2 linked regions of the Cricetulus griseus genome follow. The protein of the gene in region 2 purifies or fractionates together with the protein of the main gene of each other region. This does not show direct contact. Links are inferred from orthologs where the notes say so. Each region holds a gene or a part of one and is shown on either strand. Other genes may lie near its edges.

Evidence for each region.
Region 1: the proteins of Tp53rk (region 2) and Lage3 purify together in Homo sapiens (affinity purification with mass spectrometry; 5 studies listed by BioGRID and IntAct, with this or other methods). This does not show direct contact. The link is inferred for Cricetulus griseus from reciprocal best matches to the Homo sapiens genes TP53RK and LAGE3.

What each region holds. Positions count from the first base shown.
Region 1 is NC_048604.1:1,362,665-1,365,880, forward strand, and holds Lage3 (EKC/KEOPS complex subunit LAGE3), read left to right. Parts: upstream 1-1,353; 5' UTR 1,354-1,387; coding exon 1,388-1,623; intron 1,624-1,930; coding exon 1,931-2,059; intron 2,060-2,386; coding exon 2,387-2,501; 3' UTR 2,502-2,715; downstream 2,716-3,216. UniProt on the Homo sapiens protein: Component of the EKC/KEOPS complex that is required for the formation of a threonylcarbamoyl group on adenosine at position 37 (t(6)A37) in tRNAs that read codons beginning with adenine.
Region 2 is NC_048599.1:13,921,364-13,925,112, reverse strand, and holds the start of Tp53rk (EKC/KEOPS complex subunit TP53RK), read right to left. Parts: upstream 2,638-3,749; 5' UTR 2,586-2,637; coding exon 2,306-2,585; intron 954-2,305; coding exon 475-953; 3' UTR 1-474.

The DNA of each region.
Region 1 (3,216 bases), on a different chromosome or scaffold from region 2:
GTAACCACACAGAATGTGGTGGCATAGGGGCAAAAAAAAGGGGGGAACTGGAGCCACATCATACAGGGATCTTATAAACTACTGCAAAGCTTTGGTTTTTATTCCAAGTGCCACTAGAAAACGTTTCAGGGATTGTTGGTTGGTTGATTGTGATAATGGGAATGAAACCAGAACCTTGAAATGCCACATAAATGGTGTACCAAATAAATTCTATCCAATCCACCATGACCTTTTTTATTTTAAGAGTTTTAAAAATGTTTATGTGTATGAGTGTTTGGTCTGTATGTGTGTCTGTGTTTTTTGAGGGTTTTTTGGTTATTTTTTGTTTTTTGTTTTTAGAGGCAGGGTTTCTCTGTGGCTTTGAAGGCAGTCCTGGAACTAGCTCTTGTAGATCAGGCTGGTCTCAAACTCACAGAAATCCGCCTGCCTCTGCCTCCCGAGTGCTGGGATTGAAGGAGTGCACCACCAACGCCCAGCCCAATATACAGGGTTTTAAGCATTGATTTAATCTATACTAGAAATTAGACAGAGTGAGAAGAGTGAGTTGGGCATGGGTAGGATCAAGGAACATTGTACACATGTATGAAATTGTCAAAGAATAAGTAAAAGATATCTTAAATTTGCCAGGAGGTGAAGTTCAAAGCCAGCTTGTTATACAGAGCTAGTTCAAGGACAGCCAGGGCTAATACACAGAGAAGCCATGTTTCGAAAAATCAAGAAAAAGAAAAAGAAAGAAATTAGAAACTTTTGTGGGGGATATGCTGTAGACAAGAAGAAGATCAATCTCAGAGCTTTTGAAGGTGTGATGCAGAGAGAGAGGCTAGACAGATAGTTTAGTGATTAAGAGAACTTGCTGCTTTTGCAAAAGACCTGGGTTAAGTTCCCAGAACTCACATAAAAGTTTACAACCACCCATAATTCCAGTTCCAGTACCCACATGGACAACAGGCACTACACACATGTAAAAACAGGCAAAACATTTATACACATAAAATAAAAATAAATAAATCTTAAACCAGATGGTGGTGGCACACACCTTTAATCCCAGCACACTTGGCAGGCTTGTATCTGTGAGTTTCAGGACAGCCTGGATATCTCTCTCTCTCTCTGCATCCCGAGTGCTGGGACTAAAGGCATCTGCCACCAATGCCCGGCTCCTTAGATCCCTTTTAAAAAGAAACTGAAGGGAAAGCTGGATGTGGTATGGCACTTTGGAGGCTGAGGGAGACTAGATCAATCTCTTAGAGATCCCAACAGAGGCCTCCAGATGGGGACCGACCCAATTTAGCAACTTTGTCGCCCGCCCATTCCCGCAGGTGCATGTGGGATTGGCAGCCTGAGCGAGGGCGGAGCTTCCGGAGGATAAGGCGGGCTCTGGGCCGTAGCGATGGCGGAGGGTGGCTTGGAGGGTGGAGCAGCGGTAGACATGCAAGCAGCACACAGTTTAGGCCACACTGCAGATGGCGCCGATTCCCCGACCAGCTGCTGCTGTCCCGGTGATGCAGGCGCAGTGGCAGTTATTCCCAGTGGAGCTCACCCTGCTGCACGAGCATCGGAAGTCTCCGGTTGGAGCAAAAGCACTGTTCCTTTAACCCAAAGGCCGGGAATCCGACATCATAGATTGTATCCTACCGGACAGGGACAACTGGGTCACTTTAGGGATGCTTCAGGAGGGAAAAGGGGTAGTCTGGAGACGGGGGTGGGGTGGAGGGGAGCAGGGGGACCGGCTGATTGAGGTCTGTTAACCACGGGAGGTCTGGGCATGAGAAGATAACAGGGGGAGGGGAACCGGAGGGTGGAGGGAATGAACAGGAATTGCCCAAGCAATGTGCAAGATGTAGTCTGGGGAGCTTAGACCAGATGAGATGGTTTTAGAGGGCCAAGTAGGCGAAAACGATTCAACATGGTGCCTTTCCTGAGTCTCTACCAGTGCCCTTACAGTGCCTTTCCCGACCTCTTTGGAGGCAGAAATCGCCTGTGGGTCCCTAGCTCCTGATGCCGAACCGCACCGAGGAATCTTGGGGAAAGACCTTAAAGTCAGCGGCTGCATGCTGGAGGTGTAAGTGCTGAAAGAGTCTGGCATGCTGGGTAGGTGGCTGGACTATTCTCTACCCAAGACTGCACTTCCTTAGAGACAGCACACTAGGGTGACTTCTAAGAAGACTCTTGGTGCAGTGGACCAGTCTTTACCTGCAGGATATGGTACAGTGGGAGCCTGAGGGAAGATCCAGAAAGGTAGGAGCCAGGAGGCAGAGGCAGACAGATTTCTGTGAATTCCAGGCCAGCCAGGGCTACATCGTGAGATTCTCTCTCTTTCCAAAATAAATAAGGAAAGAAGGATAAGAATTACTATTTTAAACTTAATATTCTTTTTCCTCACTCTTAGACACTGGATCTCAGAAGACTCTCGCCTCCTCCGAATTTCCATCATGAACTTTCTTGACCAGCTCGCCCTAGTGGTGAACACCATAAAGCGCTTTGGGCCCCCAGTTTCTCGTTAAGCCTGCCTGGGAAAAGGGGCTCAGATCTGACCTTATGTCGGTTCCCTCCAAAGCAGACAATTTTCTGGAAAACATTCCAGAAATAGTACCTGCTACTTAAATGTGGGGCCTAATATTTTTTTGCCTGACTTGGTCCTCAGGCACTTAGGGGCCACTTGTTTAGTTTGGTGCTCAAATGTTGCTGAAGAAAATAAAGCTGTGCTTCTAATCTGTATTTGAGTATTTTCAACCTCAAGATTTTCTTTGTGTTGGAGGAGAGGTATTTGTTGTATAAAATAAGAGTATTCACCTAATGTTGTGAGGTCCTTGATTCAATCCTCAGCAGTGAAAAACTACATTAGTAGAAAGTAGAAGAAGACAATTACAGAAATAGAGGAAAATTAAAAACACAAGCACCCTGTCATTTGGGGCTCACTTTGGGAAACTTTTGGTATTAGAATTTTATCAATATAATAAATGTGTAGCAATATCATGAGGCCCCTCTTCTGAGGAGATATTGGCAGTTTATGGCTGCTGGGGAAATGGAGTTGTTTTTCTTCAGTAGTGTAACCACTGTTAAGTTGCTCATAATTCTGTAAATAACCCCACATCCATGATCATGCAAGCAACCCTAATTAAATTCAGTGAGGCACTAATGAAAGACATGAAAATGGAGATGTAATTGTTAAGAAGAAGGGGTTGAATAGAGGATAAGAAAGGACAATAGGGGATGGAT
Region 2 (3,749 bases):
GCTAGCCCAAACCGAGTCCCCATTTATCCCTCAGGACTAGAGTATTGTTCTCAGCTCAATGCCACCTGCCATGCATGACGTCCACAAGCCACTGTTTGGGGGAAAGCCTGTTGGACTGATCTGAAACACCCTGTTCTAGGGGAGTGGGGTGCATCTCGGTTGGCAGAGTGCTTGCCTAGCATGTGTGAGCCCCTGAGCATTGATGAACCAGGTATGAGAGCACACGCCTACACTCCAGGGGATGCAGGAGATCAGCTCACGGTTATTCATCCTCACACAGCAAAGCTGAGGCCAGCCTGGCCTACTCACCCAGTTCTGCCCCAACAGGCCTTATGTACATTAAGCTTCCGAGAACAGTGGAACCCAGGTGACAGTGGCACAGCACCACTGTGCCAGGCCACTTAACAAGGACAACACAGCCTGAGGTCCGGCCCCGCCCACAGCATCCTCACTGGGAAACAGTCAGCAACTCTGCTACCCCACCATGGAGCGCTTTCTCCCTCTCAGGCGCACTTCATCTAACTTCTTCAGCACTGGACTGGACTTCCTGGATGAAGCACCATAGCTCTTCAGGCAGGCTTCAAACACAGCCTCGGTGTGGGGGTGGGTGCTGAGGAAGGCCTTCTCCAGGACGTAGAGGTCCACGCCTTTATCTTCTGGCAGTCCAGAAACAAAGCTGAGCCCGAAGTCGATGAGGATGATGTGCAGCTGCTCCAGGGGCCGTTTTAGGAGCATGTTGGAGGTGGTGAGGTCCCCGTGAATGAGGTCTTCATCATGCATCCTAGCCAGGGTCTGCCCAATTCTCCTGGCCAAGCCCAAGAGGCACTGGGGGTCGTTCTCAGTCTCCATGGTGGACTGAATATAATCTCTTACAGTCACTGAGTCTTCGATTTCCTCCATATATAAGCAGTTAGAAGCATAGTCCACGAAGAAGACAACCGGGGCAGCTATCCCTGCAATGGACACACACACGGTTAGCAAGTATTTTCTTTATGAAGGCAGGCTTCATTTGCACGGGTGGAGCCAGGTTTTCAGTCTAAATCTACTTACACTGGAACAGGGTTTAGGAATACTATGGAAATGATATAACCTAGCCCGAAGTTCCCCTGCTCAAGCCCTGCAGGACTATTCCCTGAGCCCAGCCGAGGATACGTCTACAAGTATCAAAGCTTGCTCCCCCTTTCTCAAGTCACCTCAGGAGAGGAATTCACTGCTACTCCCTAAAAACAAAACAAAATGCAAAAACAACAACAAAAACCCCAAGAAGCCAGAAGGGAAAGCATCCTCCAGTCTGAGCAGCTTCGACCTGACTAGCAGGAGGCTAAGCAGCATGCCATCTTAGACTATCTTTGCTCCAGAACAGGCAGGTTCGAATCCCAGCTCCGTCCTTATTAGTTGTGAAACCTCAAGGTTCCATTAGCTTCTCTGTATCTCAGTTTCCGATACCGTCATGGTGGTAACAATAGCTCCAATTAATTCCAGGAGTCTCTCCCAAATGTCAGCTATGTTCAGGACTCTTTCCTAGAAACTAGAGACCTGCCAGTGGGGATCAGTGTAGCCACCGTCCCTGTCTGATAAAACTTATAAAAGAAGGTGAAACAGAAAATATGTACACTACTTTATAACTCCATTAACTCTGCTAGGGCAAGAAAATACAGGCTGTCGAGTTTCCCCAGACTGCCCAGCACCCATCAGAGTCCTGGTGTGGAGTAGACACCTAAAAACCAGCAAGTGTAAAAAGCAAAGGGTCTGTGCTTCTAAGATGCAGACAGCCCTCCTGGTGGCTGTGGAACCTGAGTCACTTTCCCTTTGTGCCTCGGTTTCTCTGGAGGGCAGTTTTGTTAGTTAAAATGTTGTTTTTAAAGAAAAAATGAATCATTTAATGAAATCAGACTTTATTGAATGCTTTGTCAGCATGCAAACATGTGACTCTCAGACCTTCTCTAATGGTCACAACATCCCTGAGATTCCCATCGCATACTAGGAAACTGAGGCGCGCGCGGGGGCGGGACGACGACTCGCTGAAGGGCCACGCGGGAAGCAGCGCTTAGAATCTGAATCCGGAGAGCCTGTCAGGGCACCTGCGGCTTCAAACTACCAAATGGAGTGTGGAGGACGGTGAGCGGAAACGGTAGGAACGGGGAAACTGAGGCGAAACCACGAGATAATAACAGACAGCTGCGGAGCTGTGTGCTGAGTCCTTTAAGCATCGCCGCCCGGCTCCGCCCCCCGGGTCTCAGAGCCCCGCCCCGCCCGTCCGCCCCGCCCCGTCCGCCCCGCCCCGCCCCCGTCCCGTCCGCCTCACCCGCTCGGCGGCAGCGGAGCAGCGCTCGCGCCTCCTGCACCGTCCTCCGCCGGCCGAGCCGCGCCTCCAGCACCGGGTGCCGGTAGCTCTTGGGGAAGCGGTGCTTCACCACGGCCGCGCGGCCCAGGAAGCGGCCGCGGAAGACGCGCGCCTCGGCGCCCTGCTGCACCAGCTCCAGGCCGCTCAGGAAAAGGAGGCTCCGCTCACGCGCTGCCGCCAGCGCCGCCGCCTCGGCCTCCGCCTCCGCCTCCGCCGCCCGCTCCGAGCACGCCGCGGCCATGCCTTCGGCTCGTCCGGACCCTGGCAGCGCCGCTTCCGCTCTCTTCGGAAATCCTCGGGCCTCTTCCGCCGCACGACACCGCCCCCTCCCACTTCCGCCCTGCCGCAGTGGTTCCGCCTGGCGACCTTTCTGAGCTCTGGCTCTAGACCCGACCCGCGGCCTGGCCCTTCCCGAAGCTCTTCGTGTATCTCCGTGAGAGCTCGGCAACTTTCGGTCAACAGTTTCTCACTCTTCGGCTTTCTCCGGAAGCGCGTTGGCGAAGCGCAGGCTTTGGGAGCCTTCTCCAACTTGGAGGCTCTTCTGGGAAAATTATTTTGTGGACACCACTCCTCTTTACTAGGCTCCTTTCCTTTCCCCTTCCTTTTCTTCCTTTTAGAGTCAGGGTCTCGCTGTGTAGCTCAGGTTAGCTTCGAATTCATGATCTTCCCACTTCTGTCTAAGGAAACATGGTCTTTAAGCCCGGCATTAGCGTGTCAGCAGCCAGCATCGTCACTCTGTGTTTGGTTTTCTCATCTTCAGAATGAGGGTGCCTGGTTCTGCTGGGGCCAGAGCTTATCAGAATAAAAGACGACAGTGGCTATGTGATGCTTGTGGACAAGGGCGCTCTTCACATGGTGTCTGACCTCCAGGCCCTGCCCCCACGCTCCTTGGGGTCCTGTTGAAATGCAGAAGAGAGGGACTTTGGACCAGGGTTGCTATGGCACCAGCATCCTGGCTCTGTGGTCCCTGGGTTTCGTTCATACCACAGGACTGTTTTCACACATCAGACCCTTGCGTGGGCATAATGTTTTCCAGCAAAGCTCTCCGAGAACTGGTTCCCTTTATATTCCCCAGTGCTCACGTATGTGGCTTCATTATCATAATTGGTTGTGTCCACGCAGCCATTGCTATGGTGACCAAAACCATCTGAACCCTTGCCTTAGAAACTACAGTGCAAAGACTCTGACCAGAGCCTGGCTTGCCAAGTCAGACTGACCTTAGCTCTTTAAACCCGGATCAAATGTTCAATATCTCGTTGCTGTGCTGAGGCCTGCAGGGAACTCCTGCATCTCTTGTAGACCCTTCCCTCACCAGACACCTCCCCACTCCCCATCATGCTCCCTCTACACAGAGCCTTTGCATCTGCTGTTTCCTCTGGGGAAACATGTTCTTCCAGCCCCTCAT